Linked DNA regions of Astyanax mexicanus. The protein of the gene in region 3 purifies or fractionates together with the protein of the main gene of each other region. This does not show direct contact. Links are inferred from orthologs where the notes say so. Each region holds a gene or a part of one and is shown on either strand. Other genes may lie near its edges. The genes, in order: cep97, znrd2 and neurl4.

Evidence for each region.
Region 1: the proteins of neurl4 (region 3) and cep97 purify together in Homo sapiens (affinity purification with western blotting; 4 studies listed by BioGRID and IntAct, with this or other methods). This does not show direct contact. The link is inferred for Astyanax mexicanus from reciprocal best matches to the Homo sapiens genes NEURL4 and CEP97.
Region 2: the proteins of neurl4 (region 3) and znrd2 purify together in Homo sapiens (co-immunoprecipitation; 4 studies listed by BioGRID and IntAct, with this or other methods). This does not show direct contact. The link is inferred for Astyanax mexicanus from reciprocal best matches to the Homo sapiens genes NEURL4 and ZNRD2.

What each region holds. Positions count from the first base shown.
Region 1 is NC_064428.1:19,875,305-19,881,534, forward strand, and holds the start of cep97 (centrosomal protein of 97 kDa), read right to left. Parts: upstream 3,572-6,230; 5' UTR 3,397-3,571; coding exon 3,333-3,396; intron 1-3,332. Other genes in the region: rpl24 (60S ribosomal protein L24), read left to right, coding at 3,622-3,626, 3,754-3,829. UniProt on the Homo sapiens protein: Acts as a key negative regulator of ciliogenesis in collaboration with CCP110 by capping the mother centriole thereby preventing cilia formation. Required for recruitment of CCP110 to the centrosome.
Region 2 is NC_064427.1:12,650,777-12,657,006, forward strand, and holds the start of znrd2 (protein ZNRD2), read left to right. Parts: upstream 1-2,930; 5' UTR 2,931-3,022; coding exon 3,023-3,038; intron 3,039-3,059; exon of another isoform or gene 3,060-3,721; intron 3,722-4,336; exon of another isoform or gene 4,337-4,370; intron 4,371-4,872; exon of another isoform or gene 4,873-4,937; intron 4,938-5,883; exon of another isoform or gene 5,884-6,230. UniProt on the Homo sapiens protein: Might play a role in mitosis. Antigenic molecule. Could be a centromere-associated protein. May induce anti-centromere antibodies.
Region 3 is NC_064422.1:43,802,410-43,808,639, forward strand, and holds the start of neurl4 (neuralized-like protein 4), read left to right. Parts: upstream 1-2,701; 5' UTR 2,702-2,728; coding exon 2,729-2,893; intron 2,894-6,230. UniProt on the Homo sapiens protein: Promotes CCP110 ubiquitination and proteasome-dependent degradation. By counteracting accumulation of CP110, maintains normal centriolar homeostasis and preventing formation of ectopic microtubular organizing centers.

The DNA.
Region 1 (6,230 bases), on a different chromosome or scaffold from region 3:
CCACTGAACTGAAACTTTCCATGTACACTAATAATTAAAAATCAATACTGGGATTTTAATAATCCATATAGTATTTCAAACCCTAATATCACAATACACCTCTAACAGATTTATACAATCAGTCCCCACTGAAAACAGAAACTTACAAAAATGTTTGGGAGTTCATGTAAACATCAAGAAAGCATGTACATTATCATATCATTGCTGTCATGTAAAATCATTGTATCTCCAAGACAATTACTTTATAGGAGAAAGAAAAAGATCAAGACAATATAGAAATACTTTATTCCAAGTCATTTGGAGTGTTTCTATTTAGACACAAGGTAAAAAAAAAAACTGTCAAAACGGGAAAACAAAAAAGGAGACTTTTGACTATGTATATCAACAGCAGCAACAAACATAGTTTTTTATTTTTATTAATACAATATTGCAAATATAAGTCTAGTGTAGGGGTGTGCCATCTTGTACCGTACGCAATAATATCACCAACATTTTTGAATATTATAAAGAATATTATACCATGAAATATCCACCCACTAATCACCCACTAGCATGAAGTGCTGTAAGATTTTCGGTGAAAACACTGCGCTGACTTTAGACTTGATAAAACACAGTGGATCAACACCAGCAGATGACATGTCTCTCCAAACCATCACTGATTGTAGAAACTTCACACTAGAGCTCAAGCAGCTTGAACTGTGTTTCTCTCCACTCTTCCTCCAGATTCTGCTTCCTTGATTTCCAAATGTAATGCAATGCAATGCAATGCAATTTACTGACGGTCAGTGATGTTTGGAGAGTCATGTATTTTGCTGGTGTTGGTCCACTGTGTTATATCAAGTCCAAAGTCAGTGAAGTGTTTTCCCAAAAAATCTTACAGCACTTTGTTAACAACTTTTATGGAGATACGGATTTCATTTTCCAGCAGGGTTTTATTTGGATTTTCAGTGACTGTAAGCCATAATCGTCACCAATAAATGAAATAAACGCTTAAAACAGAACACTCTGTGTGTAATACATCTACAGTTGTGGTCAAAAGTTTACATACACTTGTAAAAAAACATAATGTTATGGCTGTCTTGAGTTTTCAATAAGTTCTACAACTCTTATTTTTCTGTGATAGAGTGATCGGAACACATACATGTTTGTCACAAAAAACAGTCATAAAATTTGGTTCTTTCATAAATTTATTATGGGTCTGCTGAAAATGTCACCAAATCTGCTGGGTCAAAAATATACATACAGCAACAAAAATTGTCAATTTTGGTGATGTAGCGAGTTGTGTCAATCAAATTAGCTTCATGTCATGGCCTCTTCACTTCTTGTAAGTGATTCTGATTGACTACAGCTGTTGACTTCTCATGAGCCCATTTAAATAGGGCTCATTTGACCCAGTGATTAGACTCAGCTACAAAAGCTACAATGGGAAAGTCAAAGGAACTCAGTGTGGATCTGAAAAAGCGAATTATTGACTTGAACAAGTCAGGGAAGTCACTTGGAGCCATTTCAAAGCAGCTACAGGTCCCAAGAGCAACTGTGCAGACAATTATACGCAAGTATAAAGTGCATGGAACAGTTGTGTCACTGCCACGATCAGGAAGAAAACGCAAGCTATCACATGCTGCCGAGAGGAGATTGGTCAGGATGGTCAAGAGTCAACCAAGAATCACCAAGAAGCAGGTCTGCAAGGATTTGGAAGCTGATGGAACACAGGTGTCAGTCTCCACAGTCAAGTGTGTTTTACATCGCCATGGACTGAGAGGCTGCCGTGCAAGAAAGAAGCCCTTGCTCCAGAAAAGGCACCTTAAGACTCGGCTGAAGTTTGCTGCTGATCACATGGACAAAGATAAAACCTTCTGGAGGAAAGTTCTCTGGTCAGACGAAACAAAAATTGAGCTGTTTGGCCACAACACCCAGCGATATGTTTGGAGGAGAAAAGGTGAGGCCTTTAATCCCAGGAACACCATGCCTACTGTCAAGCATGGTGGTGGTAGTATTATGCTCTGGGGATGTTTTGCTGCCAGTGGAACTGGTTCTTTGCAGAAAGTAAATGGGATAATGAAGAAGGAGGATTACCTCCAAATTCTGCAGGAAAACTTAAAACCATCAGCCCGAAGGTTGGGTCTTGGGCGCAGTTGGGTGTTCCAACAAGACAATGACCCAAAACACACATCAAAAGTGGTAAAGGAATGGCTAAACCAGGCTAGAATTAAGGTTTTAGAATGGCCTTCCCAAAGTCCTGACTTAAACCCCATTGAGAACATGTGGACAGTGCTAAAGAAACGGGTTCATGCAAGAAAACCATCACATTTAGCTGAACTGCACCAATTCTGTCAAGAAGAGTGGTCAAACATTCGACCTGAAGCTTGCCAGGAGCTTGTGGATGGCTACCAAAAGCGCCTAGTTGCCGTGAAAATGGCCAAGGGACATGTAACCAAATACTAATGTTGCTGTATGTATATTTTTGACCCAGCAGATTTGGTGACATTTTCAGCAGACCCATAATAAATTTATGAAAGAACCAAATTTTATGACTGTTTTTTGTGACAAACATGTATGTGTTCCGATCACTCTATCACAGAAAAATAAGAGTTGTAGAACTTATTGAAAACTCAAGACAGCCATAACATTATGTTTTTTTACAAGTGTATGTAAACTTTTGACCACAACTGTATATAACATATACATTTCCTATTTTGAACTTAATTACTGAAATGACTTCTGACCTTCAGCAGAATTACAGAACCTTAAACCTACAAACACCTTAAAATGCCTTTACAGTGTTTCCAGTAGAAGATATACTCGATACAAACTATAACTTACATACCTACAGATATGAACTGAACAGGTTACATAAAGCGAATAAAGCTCTGACAGATTAATCCCTCGCTTCTAGCTAACAGCAGTAACTGCTAACACGAACAATACAGCTGCGTTACCGACAGTACACACACACAGCTTGTCAACACGAACCTAACGATAACAGACACTCAGGCTAAGCTAGCGCAGCAGTATAACTACTCAATACTAGAGGTGACTAACTCAGGTCCGGTTGGTAAAAATCCACCCCAGGGTTTTGTACAAACTGCCTGTGCCTGTGTGTAGCTCAACTGCAGAAGAGCCATCCAGGCCGTTGGTACAAAATCCTGGGATGGAATTTTACTTTCCGGACCTGGGTTAGCCATATTTCTTTACTTTCTGGATCTGGGTTAGCAACCTCTACTCAATACCAGAAATGCGTCTATCCTTATATCACAGCACTGCCTCAGGTATCATTAATAAACCAAAATATCATAAACACGCCGGTTACAAATCCCAGCACAGCTCCGTACCTTCATAATTAGTCATTTGTGTGACCGGATCAGATACGATAGCTCGCCTCTCCGTCGCCGCCATGCTTCCCGCTTGAGTCGTCCACCGCCAGGCAACCGACGGCAAATCTGATTGGTTGATTTAATTAAAATTTAAAAATATTTTTGCACATTTTTGCGAGACTCTGCTTCAAAATACGATTCCAGCTGTGTGGTCCTTTTGCGTAAATATGACGTTTTCACCAAGTCGGTATCTTTATAAACCGGATACCCACAATTCCTTTTCCTCTTCCCTGTCGGATTCGCCGCCATGAAGTAAGCGCAGTCCCGAATAATCCGTAAACATCTACCTCTAAATCCATTAAATATCCGTGTTTTTTTGGTCCGGGGGTGAATTAAAAGTATGTTATTTAGATATTCTTGTGATATTTGTGACTTGCAGGGTCGACTTGTGCAGTTTCAGCGGGTACAAAATCTATCCCGGCCATGGCCGGCGATATGCCAGAATCGACGGAAAGGTAACGCTTAGCTACACTGAACCGAACACGCCACAGAGTTGTTATTCATTTCACACTTATTTATACGTGTTTTATAATGTAATGTAGCTTAATGTAATCAAACATTGTGTTCTCATTGGTTGCAGTGTGCTGTTTGAAATCTGACTAAACTAGTGGTAGTTTATTTAGTTGGTGGCTAACTAGCTTAGCTAGCTTGCTTCAACCCGGCCTGTGGACGCCACGGGCAGCTTCTGTACAGGTCAACTTAGCTAATGCGCTGTGTAATGGCTGTTTGGCCAAAACTAACTTAAGTTACCGTTTTTGTTTGGGTGTAACGAGACTACTATGGTGGCTTTGCTGTACCAGTAGGGTATTTAGCTAGCTAGCTGGCTAACCAGGTCCCGGTGCTTTTGGCTGGGTTTCTGAACTAACTAACTAACTTAACTGACTGCCTTTTAAGATGTTTGTAGAAATGTTGACAAGTCAGCTCCACTTGTAACGTGGCTAGTTAATAGTGTGCAGTGTATAATTATTATTTTAACTGGGACCCAGACATGTGTATCTAACCTAGTTAGCTAAGTAACTACAAACCCACTCAGAGCCCATGCCTATCTAGAACCCTCCTAGCCTTGCCCATGTCCAGGGTTCATACAGGCATGAAAAACCTGGAATAGTCCTGGAATTTGAAAACAGGAATTTCTAGGCCTAACTACGTTTTTTTTGGATAAATAAAATACCCTTAAGTTTTGTAAAAGTCATTTTGGGTACAATTCTGTGTTTATTGATGGAGATAATTGAGCTAATATGCATCAGCTCAGAATTAATTTTGTAATTTAGTCCTACATAATGAAGCTCAGGATCTGACACACATTTTATTATTAAAATTGTCAGCATTTATTAGGTATATTTTAGGCCTACTATAATCAATTTGCCTTGTCTTGAAGATGCAGAAAAGTCATGGTACATAAGACAAATATTGTATATAGTGTAGGTAACACATGCACAGTTCCTTTAGGCAGCACGAATCGATGGGTATCATGCGAGTCCCACATGAGTAGTTTTGTTGGCCGAGTATATATTCAGGATAAGGGTCTACCCACTGGTAATATATTTACTTTTTGCTAGACACCCTGACTGGGTTGCACTTGTTTTGCGCAAGTTATTTTCTTTAATTTGTTTGTAAAGTCTCTACCAAGTCTTGTTACTGCTAGTTGGCTTTTTACTATCCTTTCATTAATATGGTTGCACCACAAATGCATGTCATATCTTAACTAGTAACAACTAATAACTTGTGCGCTGAGTAATAATTGTCACTTTTACATGAAGGAAAAAACTGACAATCTACGTGTTGCCATGGAAATGTGGTTGATCATGACGGATGTTTTATCGATGACCGTTTTAAACAGCCTTAACAGCATTACTCTGTTAGTGCTAGTGTGGATCGTGTGGTCATGCCTCTTCAGCCTTGGGGCCATTTGGACCCCAGCAATTCAAACCAGCCAAAAATGATTTTAACTAATTTTGTTGGTAAAATCTGTGCCACGGGATTAGTGGTTCTTGCATTACAACATCACTACATAGTGTTGTTGGCTTAGGTCATACTAATCTCACTATTTCCTCAAATGTGTGAAACATTTTATTTCTTATAGCAAAAATAGCTAAAACAGCCTGGGGTCAAACTGGCCACTCAAATAACTAATTTTGTATGGTGCATAAATATGTACAGGACTTCGAAATTGTAAAAGTATTAACTTTACTTACGTGCACTGAGATCTGTTGGCTCATCACAACAAGAGGAGCCAAATCTTTCAGCTCATCTTTTACCTACTTTGTAGAGGTGTGCCAAAAAATCGATTCACATAAGAATCTTGATTCTCATTTACTACGATTCAGAATCGATTTAAAATGTCCCAAAATCGATTCTAAGGTCCAATCCCATTTCTTCCCTTGGCCCTACCCCTCACTGTAAGTTCACACTGCAGCGGCACGAAGCGTTTTTCGCTCCGCCTCCCACTGCCCAAAGCGACAAGTGGCCGCTGCAGTTTGAACTTACCGTCAGACCCACACAGAGCGTAGGTGTATGAGAATCACCGGTAAGATGGCAGAACAAGCATTATATTACCTTAGATTAACGTGTAGTTTTAATGTTTTATGGCAGAATGCTTCATAACAAGCATAAAAAAGATCGCTAGTAGTTAGTTTCCGTTTCTGTTAGCTAGCTAACTAGCTAACTTTCCAGTTCCACCTTAAATAATGCAACAGGTGGCAGCGGGCTGCAGCATTTAAGGCGGAACGGAAAAATAACAATAAGCTAATCAGAGCTAATTTCAGCTCCTCATCACAGAGGAATTAAGGAATGGACAATATGAATTAATTTCTCCACCTCCTGCCCCCTTTCTGAAGAAATACAACGGCCTAAAAT
Region 2 (6,230 bases), on a different chromosome or scaffold from region 3:
ACATAATTTTATTCTTACTTTTATTCTTTTATTCTTAGACTTCAGATATGTTGTTTATTTGTTAAGAAAATGGCTAGGTGAAAATGTGAAGCCTGTGGTGTTTTTATTTTGATCTTTTTTACATATAGCAAGTCTGTAAATTACTTCACATTTTATTACACCTTCAGAGATAACATTAACATCTACATACTCAAGTGTCAATTTATAATGCTTGCCATGTATAAATGAATGAAATAATAAAAAAATAAAAAGAAATAAATAAATGAATAGAGCCAGAACGCATTTATTCGCATAGGCCTTATCTAACTAGCAGTTTATTTTTCTGTAATCTAGATAGACTAGGGGATAAATTACAAACATCAACCAGAAAATATTTTTCTTTGTCCTTGAGCAGTTGATGTAGAAACTGCATTTTACACATTATCAATTTAGTATTAACGGGTGTATAAGACATTTTAGAAATTTAATTAGTTTACCATTATAGCAAACCTGTTTGGGTTATACCCGTCTTATGGGGGGGTGGTCTTTGACCAGTTGTAAAATTCTGCATGGTACATTTTATCAGCAAGCTCATAAATTTGCCAAAACTCTGTGATTCATGTTTAGAAATGGGAACCAAATACCATGTCTCTAAATGTGGTCCTGTATCAATATGCTACTAACCATTAAAAATGAGGTATAACACATTCATCAAAATATCAGTTTATTTTACTCTCAGAGAGAGCATGAGAGCAAACCCCCATCCCTCTCAACACACTCACACACACACACACACACACACCACTTCCTTGCTCATTCATTTGCTCAATTTAAAATGTACTCTTCACAGCTCTGTAAAATTTAAAATCCTTTATTTTGACACCATATTTACATGCTGTTTGCAACAGTGTGGACGGAAGTACAACTTGGCATTTCCTACCAGATCTGTGCCCATGCTCATTTTGCAGTGCGCATGCGTGCACATGGCACGGCACAGATCGGGTAGTGGCTTTAGGTGTGTCCCAGTTCAGGGGCTACATCCTTTGAAGGATGCGGTCTTCGATGGTGTGTCCTTCGAAGGATGGGAAGGCTGCGATGGCTGTGTCACTACCCAATCTGTATTCCCTGCCAGATTTGTGCCGTGCATGCGCACTGCAAACTGAGCAGGGGGCACAGATCGGGGCTGCGTCCAGAAACCCCAAAAGTGTCTCCATTTCCTACCGATCCTCCTACTCTCCTCCGTGACCCGGAAACTGATTTCGTGACGCCATCTTGCCGCCTGTCCGAATACCGTAGAAGACGAAATAAGCCGCTTAAAATCCACCTGTAGTAGGCCTCCAACGGAGGGTACATCAGTGCATCCTACTCCGGAAGACTTTTAAGGATTTTCCAATGACATCACTGCATCCACGCCCACAAAGCACGTGGGAATGGAGAAGGGAATGCACAAATACAAACATTAAATAACTAGGTTCCTTATCTAATTATACAGCCAGTAAAGCACTAATATATTTTTTTGTTTAGATAAGCTGTATGCTCAGTAGAACTATACTATACTATACTATATTAATGATCCCATATTTGTAAAATTATATATATATATATATATATATATATATATATATATATATATATATATATATATATATATATATATAGCAGCCAAAATGCCTGGGAGTAGCAAAAGTTTCTGGACGCAGCCCGGGTAGCCACGGCTGTCAACAGTTTTCGGCGTTGTGAGATCTTCCGTTTTCTAAATTCTAGATCAGGCATGTCAAACATACGGCCCGCGGCATAAATTTCTGAGTATGTCAAAAAAAGAAGCGAGTTTCTAGCTCGTGATTTTGTTGTGATTTTTTTTAAATGAATACAAATTAAATGCTCTCTCCGGTCGCTAGAGGGCAGTAAATGTCCCGCATGCAGCACAGACACGGCAATCTTGCTTCACCACAGCAGCAAGTAGACTGCAGGAATGCAGTGAGAGATATAGAGAGAGAGAGAGAGAGAGAGAGAGAGAGAGAGAGAGAGAGAGAGAGAGAGAGAGAGAGAGAGAGAGAGAGAGAGAGAGAGAGAGAGAGAGAGAGAGAGAGAGAGAGAGAGAGAGAGAGAGAGAGAGAGAGAGAGAGAGAGAGAGAGAGAGAGAGAGAGAGAGAGAATAAATGTGTTGTGCTTAGAAAAGATCCCTTTTCATCCATGATTATAATATGTAGGGTAGGCTAAAAATGTAGGCTGAATAATAAAGCATAGTACTGAAAAACAAAGCTAAATATTTGGAGTTGACATTCTTTTACTGATCCGGCCCACCTGAGAACAGAAAGTCGACATTCTTTTACTGATCCGGCCCACCTGAGAACAGAAAGTCTGGATCCGGCCCCAGAGCCAAACTGAGTTTGACATGCCTGTTCTAGATAGACTGATGGGTGTTTAAACTTATTATAATTCGAATTTGTTAAAATGTATAAGCCTGTGGTGTTTTTATTTATTTATTTATTTTTACATATACCAAGTCTGTAAACTACTTCACATTTTATTAGTTTATCTTTCTGTAATCTAGATTTAAATTACAATTTAAATTACAAACAAAATACAAACATCAACCAGAAAATAATTTTCTTTGTCCTTGAGCAGTTGATATATAAACTGTGCATTTTATGCTTTGTCAATTTAGTATTAACAGATGTATAAGACATTTTAGAAATTTAATTAGCTTACCTTGGGGCGGTGGTCTTTGACCAGTTGTAGTATTTCTCAAGATAACAAAGAATTTATGTGTAAAAAAAACATAATTTTATTCTTAAAATACACAGCAAAGTATTATAAATAACAGCTGCCTGTACCTGGTTCTGCATGCGTCAAACAACTAACACCAGTTAATCCCTCACTGAAATTCTGCATGGCACAAATCGGGCAGGGGGCACAGATCGGGTAGTGACAAGTGTCCGTATACTGTTGCAGTATCGCTCCCTGCACCGGTCCTACAGGCGGCGCTCTCTCTGGCTGAGCTGCGCTCTATGCCGGTGCATCTTGCTGCAGGAGGGCGAGCATGGCGCTGAACGCAGGTGCTTTTACAGCTTTAGAAACACTTAGAACATTTATTTAAACTATTTTCTGAGTTGGATACGGTTTTTTATTTTACTTCAGTTCTGTAAGAGTAGTAGAAATCCTAAACTTAGCCACTGTTCGCGTCTGGTTTCAGTATCGGCACGGTTAGCCTGCGTGCTAAAGCTAACGTGTGTTGTTAGAGCGGTTGTGTGTATGGAGGTTGGGTGTTGTATCTGTGTGAACGTGTAGCCTATAGAGTGTTTATGATGTGTTTAGACGCGCGTCTGTGTGGCTAATCAGAGTGAAATTAATCTCTGGATGTTAGGGGTGGAACGGGGAGTTCCAGAGAGCCTAAACTGCCCTGATAGCAGACTACTCCGATCCGGATCCGTTTTACCTCCGGCAGATCCGCGCTACAGTCAGGTCTGTTTAGTGGATCTGGTCCGGCTTCACTCCGGGTTCGGGTTATGATTGTGACTCACGTTCAGATCCGTTTTACTGACGGTAAATCCGCATAACAGTCCGTCTCATTTCACGCCTTCCATATGACTTCGGCACGGAGTCAGATACCAGACGTGAGTTCAGTGTCAGTTCAGTGTCGTTTTGCGGATCCGGGCCGCATCGGCGGAGCGGCACAGGAGCGGGAGAAATTCAAACTCAGCGCGAGGACCAACTGACATCTGCTGAATCTGCGCTTCAGGTGAGTTAACTAGCTAACTAGCTATCAGCGTCATTTAATTACATTTATTGCTCATTTTTAATCTTGTATATGCTAAAGTTGATTTATCACGTGTATGTTGGATAATATCAATTGTTTTTTTGTGTATTTAATGTTAATTGTTGTCAATTTGTAGGCAAAATTGACAAAAAGCTTCAGTTAACGATACCAGTTAGTTATGCTAGTATTAGCTAGTATAACTAGCTAAGCTAACCAGGCTAACTAGCTGAAATAAACGCTGTTAACTCATTTTGCTCGAGTAACACACCTTTTTTTTATTAAAATAAACAACTTTAGTTATTCTTAGAACCTTAAATAGTTGTGTTTGGGCTTAATTATAATAAAGCTCGTCAGACGTTTTCCTGCTCCACCTTGTATAGGTTGCTGCAACAGTGATTAATAGTTAGGTTTACAAAACTTGCCTCATTTAGTTTAGTTTGTTCATTATTTGCAAATAAGTTTTTGGATAACTCAATCTGGATACATAAAGTCTGATGCAAATCTGATGTATGGTAAGTTAAAGTTCAGCCTTTATTTTAAAAAAGAAAATGCTTAACTTACAATACTGAATGTAATTTTGTTTTGTTTGTTTTTTAGGTGTAATCATTTACCCATCAAATCACCTAACAAGGTAATTAATTCTATTTTCCAGCAGTTCTGTAATTAATTTTGACTTTAAGTCTGTTGATACACGTTTGATTTGATATGTTTGCTCTTAATGTAGCATTTATCCACTTTCTTATTTTAATTGTTTGTTGTGCCACTGCACTAAAAACTTTAAGGGACACTGTAAGATTTTCTTGATTAATTTATATACATTTTTAAAGAAGTAAATTTACAACCATAAAAATTAGTGTTCCACTCCATTGAGCTGTAATATACAGAATAAAAGTCCTCTCATGTCTGATCTGGGCTCCACTGTGTTAAAACAAGGCTATGTAAGTATTTGCGTGCCCTGCTATCAGAACTTTCTCAGCCTCGTTTCAACACCGTGGAGGTCAGATCAGACATGAGAGGAATATTATTCAGTGTATTACACCTCAATGGAGTGAAACAGTGATTTTGAAGTTCAGAATAGCTTTTAAGTTTGTGTATTGTTTTCTGTCTGCGCTTGCTGCATCTCCCCCTCGCAGGATCAGCCTGGATCCTAACAGTACTTGATGCACTGAGCAGTGACATTATACATAGAGTAGTTAAGGTAAGAAATATACATTTCTTTCCTTTTAAAACATTTGTGTTACGTATAATAACAATTACATCAGGCGTTATCAGATCGAGGTTCAAATTATCAAATCAAATTGTTGGCGGGGACCATTTAAAAAATCACTGGATATTGGTGTCCGTGCTAACTCTATACCCTTGAGTAAAGTAACCAAGTACTAATACTTCATTACTTTTCATCCCTTTGCTTTATCTTAAATGATTGCCACCTTTTGAACTAAAATAATTCCTAATCAGTTGTCTATTCCTGACTAGAAAACTAAAAATAACAGTTTTAAAAGTTTTGCTTTTTTTTAAGCTGGAGAGAACTACTGCAGGATTTCTCCAGACTCACTGTAATTACACATGGTCACCATGACACACTAAATAGGACAGGGGTGTTTTTCCTGAAAGTGATCAATCTTAGTGAATAACAAACAAACTAACGCATGACGTGAGAAAAGAACGAGCCAGTTCTTCAAGTGTTTCCCATAGAGCTTTGCAAAAGGTTCAAAGAGCGTCTTTGTTGACTCCTCCCCTTTGCAATTCCTGTAAATCCTGTATTTCCTTGGGAATTCCATATAAGTGTGTGTATGGTGCAGTAACAACTGGGTTACAGAATGCACAGACTTGGAGTCTGCACACTTGCTAAGACCGTGACCATCACCAGTTGTCTGCAGGAAACCACCTGTAGCATAAAATCAGTGGGCAGTTAGGTGGTACATGGTGGAACTCTGTGGAACTGAGTTGACCTAGAGGCACACATATATACAGTGAGGAAAATGAACACCCTGCGACTTGGCAAGTTCTCTCACTTATAAATCATTGAGGGGTCTGAAATTTTCATCTTTGGTGCATGTCCACCGTGACAGACATAATAAAAATCCGGAAATCACAATTTATGATTTTTTAAAAATAATTTATTTAATTTGCAACTTTCTCAGCAGGATTTGGTATCCGCAAAATGGTTCGAGGTCCTCAGCCCTCGCCTCCCCCAGCACAGAGGAAAACTACCAAGGGCGGTACTCTCATTATAGGAGATTCAATTGTTAGACATTTAAAAGTATCTAAGAGTAATGGCACAATTTCATGTCTTCCAGATGCTTGCATGCTGGTAGTCGGCAAGCGGCTCCCTGGGGCGCATTGCCAAAGCAGGAACCCCGGCACCATCGCCCTCCACGTGGGGATGAGCTTTCGGGAGCGACCGGCCCCGTTCCACAGAGACAGGCTTCTCTCTGTGAACATCGAGGCGGTGCTACGCTGAGACTGACTGTCTCTACCCAGTCACACC
Region 3 (6,230 bases):
AATAAATGCACTTGGGGCGGTTGGGAGACCCATCCAATATGGCGGCCACGCTGACACGCCATGAGGCAGGCTATGAGGCGTCTATACATATGATGTCTATGAGCCAGAGTTCAATAATTTAATATAAATGTTAAGTTACGTTAACACTGTTTGTCAGATTTAATAAAAAGGTATTATTTCAAGGGAACTTACTAACTAGTTTTTATTAATTAAAAAACTAAATTTATTTATTTAATAAATTTCAGATATTCAGATAGTCCTCTTTTCAAATCAGGTAAACAATAACAGTGATGTCTGTATGCCTGTCTTTGTCAAAGAGCCTAATACAAAGTATTTCAGCATGAAAGCACGTATTTGTATTGTGTGATAGTTTACTGTATCATTACTACATCTCTGCTGTTTGTAACAAACTAAACCGTGTGAAAATCGAGTGGAAATTGGGAAAGTTGTTATTATTATAGTTTTATTAAACACCTTTTTCAGTACAAATAAATGCACTTGGGGCGGATGGGAGACTAAATGTAAGCTCCAATAGGGGACGTACCTGGCCTCTCTTACCTGCTTGGGCAACATCAACAGCAGCAGCAGTAAGCAAAGTAACCAAAATCGACTGTGGAAGAACATAAAGAGAGTTGGTGGAATATATCTGTCTTGTGCATATATACTCCACCCATGTGACGTCAAACCATCTGCATCTTAGCGCTACAGAGGTACACCCCTCGGCCCAATCAGCTCTCCCTTCTTTCCCACCCCTAAACCCATTGGCACCTCCTAAACTACTACTCTCATTTTTTTAAATATTTTTTTTTAGGTTTGAGCTGAGGGTGGAGTGATTTAAAATCAGGGGGTTTAGTTTCCACTTCATCAAAAAGGATGCACAATCCCCACAGGCTAACGAACACTACAAATCACACAGTTGAGCTGCTTCTGAATGCTGCTCAGCAACTGGTTTGTGCAAAAAGAAGGATTCCTTTTAATAAAAAGATCAAAATTCAGTGAAAATAATAGAAATGTGGGCTTTTACAGGGCTTTTATTTTTTAATAACACACAAGAATGTCTCAATGTTAACTGGCCTGTGCAAACAAGATGATTCAATTTAATTACAGTCTTAGAATAAAATAAAATAAAATAAAATAAAGAATGTGACCATTGTAAGTGATTTCATTTTGAAATGCTTCAAGGGCATTGTGTGTTTTATAACGAAGATTTACAACCTTTGTTGACCTTTTTTTAAAATGAATATTAAGCATTATTTCTAAAGATATACAGTATTCATTTCAGTTCACAGTCGCCTCTCTGTGACAACATTTGGCAGCACACCCTCCCTGCCAGCGCTGGTTCTCTGTTGTAAACACGCCCCTTACCCTAGTGATGGGAATTCCAGCTCTTTTTAGAGAGTCTGTTCTTTTGGCTCGGCTCACTAAAAAGAGCTGACTCTTTCAGCTCCACTTTTTTTGTTGCCTTTTCTAATTCATTGTGTTTTCTTTCTTTTTAAGACTATATTAAAGCTGTACAGGAACACGTGGAATTATGTAATAAAAACTGTTAAACAAACCATAATATGTTTTATACTTTAGATTATTCTAAGTAGCACATTAATCTTTGAGGACAGATCTGCACACTCTTGGTATTTTTATCTCAGTGTGGTAGAGGTGAGGTAGAGTCACCTGGAATAGTTTTCTCAGCATCTTGAAGTTCCTGGAGGTGCTGAACAATAGTTGCTGCATCCCAAACCACCTCAGTTGATCAGGCTTTGGATCTACAACCAAATAACTATAAAACTGAAACATAGCACAACAAATAAGAACATTTGTGTTTAGTTAGCTTATGTTTAGTATTTTAGACAATCTCAATAACCAATGCTTAAATAACTGTGGCTCCATATACCCTGTGTGGACTGCAGTAGGTGAATAAAAATATTAGCTATATATTTCCTTAACTATGATTAATTACAAATGTGTTGTCTTTAAAGGTGTGAAAATATTAACATTAATTACTCGGTAGGAAGAAGTATAGATACTTGGGTTTAAAATACTTCTGTAGAATGTGGAGCCTCAACCCAAGCTTTTTACTCAAGTTCAAATGTAAAAGTTCTGGTTTCAAAACTACTTAAAATATAATGTAAAAAAGCTGAAAAACAAGCTAAAACAAAATAGGAGTAACAAGGCTATTTTTAAAATGTAAGGAGTAGAAAGTTCAGATAATTGAGTGAAAATGTAAGGAGTAGAAGTAAAAAGTGAAGTATAGATAAGGTAATAAGAAGGTATTTACACTTCATTACTTGACATCTTTTATGATTAATGACAAATTTGTTGACTGTAAAAGGCTTTATGATGGCATGGACAGTATTTTAGCCAGTCATGCTTAATGACCAATCAGTGCTTTAATAACTCTGATTTAGTGACTTCATAAACACAGTGTGGAATTCTGCAGTAGGTGAAGAAAAAAGTATTTATTTTACAAACTATGATTAATTTCGAATTTTGTTGTCTTTAGAAGGGTATAATTGCTTTATTGTGCTATTCTATTAACAATATGTCAGTGGTATTTATATGGTCTTAAAATGACAATAATATCGTTTATCGCAATATTTTCTGATATATCGTGAGAGACCTAATCGGTGCAGAATCAGAAGTCGATTCCCCCGTGGTTCAATTCAAAGAGCCGGTTCTTAGAGCCGGATCGTTCGCGACCGCCCCATCAGTACTGGGCCGCCCCAGCGCGATCATGGCGGCGGAGCTGCATCCGCGCAGCGGGAAGCTCATCGGTCTGTCCAACTCGAACCGGACCGCGCAGCGGAACCAGCCCGTGCAGGAGTTTAACCACGGCCTGGTGCTCAGCCGGGAGCCGCTGCGGGACCGGGACGTCTTCACAGTTCGGATTGACAAGAAGGTAAATCGCTGTGCGGGAGAGAAAAACGGGGCGGCTGGAGTTGGCTGCTTAGCTCTAGCGGAGTTGTCCGGTCCACCTTAAATATTGCAGTAGTCGCAGCCCGGCGCCAGCGCTGTTGCTAGGCTGTAAGCAGTGCGAAATTTAAGGTGGAACGGAAAATTGGTATTTGGTCACCGATGAGCAGCGAAATGTGCTTAGTTGATGATGCGCTTTAACACGCATATGATTGATTTGTGCTCGAAAATTCAGATATTACAGCTGCATTTCTTATTTCAGTGCTTTATTTTAAGGTAAAGAGGTTATATTATCATGTATTAGCTATGTTAGTTAGCTAGCTAACTTGCTAGCTATCTGTTAGCTGCTGCTGCTCGATCAGATAGCTAGCTTAGCTTAGCTTAGCTAGATCTAGCACAGCCTAATTAGTTAGCAGGCTGGGTTAGCTAGCTAACTAACTAGTTAATTAACCTTTACTAGTTAACAATTTAGCTGATGAATACAATATTTAAAGCTTATTTACATACTCGGTTATTGATAAATACACACTTTTTAAAGTAACAGGAGATTAACTGGCTGTCCTTACTCTATGTTTATGTCTATTTTAGCTGGATGCTAAAAAGCTAGGCTACGCTAAGCTAAGCTAAGTAGCTATCTAACGCTAACAGTCTCACTGACAGCCGAGCAGTGGCAGCTTATAAATAATAAACACAGAATAACAGCTCTCGGATCTGGGTAATACTGTACATTAAGGCTCACAAAAAATAATAGGAAAATCACGCTAATAAACACTGTTACGTGGTTCAGTAATGCCTCAGCTATTTATTAACTGACATTAATTAAGACATAAGACAGGATTCAGGATTCAAACAGTTTATTGCCACAGTAAGGAAACAAATTTCCTTGTACAATAAAATTCTTTCTTTGCTTTTCCCCAAGTATACCTCATAAATAGAAAAATGAAAAATACAATAAAAGAAATAATATACTAACTAAATATTCACAAATTTTAAATTGTTGTTAAATTTACATCAATAATTTTATACTGTATTTTACAGACACGGATATATATAAGGTGCAATATCAATAAAAGTCTATTTTTATACATAAGGTGCACGGGATTATAAGGCGCATTGTATGTGACACTAGTAAGGAACAAGGGTTTCACCATGTTTCCCTTCTAAATTCACATAATTAAACAAGTGCTGGGTGCTAATCTACATAGATGTCTCTCCTGAAACATCTCCTGTTTATTTGTGTGAGTTAAGCACTAACATTTATTTACAGTAAGCTATTTTAGCATTAAAATATGTTAGTGGCACTTAGCGCTAGTAAATGCCACCTGAGAACGCTACACTGAGGAACCCTGAGCGTTTTGGAAACCCAGGGCGCTATCAGCCAGCGGGTCGTCCCGCGTAGCTAGTAGCTGTAACACGGTAAACACGCAAACTACAGTCCAATATACTTGGCTGCTAATGCAAATGCTGCTCCAGCCTTGGTGCTGGAGAAACTTTGCTCAAGACGTACCCTTTTATAATGCTATACTTCAGCAGAGTGACTTTACTGCTCCTTAATACCTGACTGGTAAAATTCATACATAAGGAGCACCGGATTAGAAGGCTCACTGTCAATTTTGGGGAAAATTAAAGGATTTTAGGTGCATCTATAGTTGGAAAACTATGGTACAAGGAAGAACATTACTATCTACAGCAGTGAGATGTGACAAAAGTGCAAAAGGTTCAGTAGAGCAATTGTAAACATTGTTACAGTGAAGTGTAGAGAGTGAGGTGCAGGGTTATTTTGTCTGAAGTAGGTTCAAGAATCCGATGGCAGTGGGGAAGAACCTGCAGGCTTGTATGTTACAAAATGTTAATGCTTTAAAATGCTGTAAATAATATTGAATCTTAACTGGAGGACTAAACTAGGACTGGAGTATTTTCTGGATGCAGCACAATGTTATTGTCTCGTATGATGAGTAAGCTAGCATTAAGAAAGTGGATTTATTTTATTTTTATGGATTTTAAACTCTTTCAAAGCGCTCAGTTAATGGCTTCCTGTAAACTGCCAGGTCCTGGATATTATGAGTAAATGCACAAAATCAAATTGCAAAAGTTTAAAACTAACATTTATGGGCATTACATCATAGATATACAGATCCTATTCTGGTCATTATGATAGTATGATACACTGGTTGAACATCTAAGCTTAATTTGAACTAGTTCTCCTTGAAATAATTGAAAGTCTGTACAATCCAAGCTGTTATAAAAATCACGTCTAAACATCTCAAATGTCCATTCAAGATAACTGTGATGCAATTTTCAGCATGAAGCACTAAGAATACATTTAAACAGCAGATGTTTATTTAGGGCTGTTTACACTGTTTTTAGTGTGACCTCTATCTGACATTTGTCTGAACAGTCTTTTCTGTGCTAAAGAACAGCGCTTCACATGAAGTTTCAGTTTCATCTTCTCCAGCGTTACAAGGCAAAGTTCAGCCTGCAGCTGGTTTTATAACCAGGAATACAAGCTCTTTGTGGAAAAAAGGGTTGCTGCTATTTAGCTAAGGATACTGCTTTAGTTTGTGTTCTGTACTTTTTATAAGCTCTTTATTGTCCTTTGACACTACAGCAATAACAGTTTAACTAGAAACACAGGTCACTTGCTTTTATTATATCACCAATGAAACCTTCACTCTGACACTTTTGTGCATTTTCCTCATTTTCTTGCATAATTTTTCACTTTTCTCCAATGAATTTTGTAAACTCTTCTAATAAATGCATGTAACTGCTTGTTGTTTCACCAATTGTTGACACAGATGTTCAGATGCACATATAAATATATTGCCTGGTCCAGTTGATTTGAGAATTGAGAGTTTCCAGTCTCTTAAAAGCCTTTTACCTGATATAAAAGTTGCATGAATCTGAATGAATCTGGCTGTGACATTGCTGGAAATCCGACATATATCAGATTTCAACTGCATATTAAAGTTGCCCAAATCAGGATTGAAAATATATAGTTTCATGTTTACATTAAGACATATATATTTTTTACCTGCTGTGTGAACATAGCCTAAGGGTTTGTCTCAGAGCATCCTAGTCTTTTTGTGTTCCTCAAAGAGAGAGAATTCTGAGAATGAGAATTATGACAGCTCCTCAGTTTAAAGTCTTCACTGAGCGCTGTCGGTTTACAGAGCTTGGCCTTCTCTTTTTAATACTCTACCTGGTTGATTTTAAATAGAATGGGAGAGACAGTGAGTCTGCTGTAGACTGCAGGGTACAGTATTCTACAGTTGCGGTTATGTAAGCAGCTCAGAGAGCTCACTCTGACCTCTCACAGTGCGTGT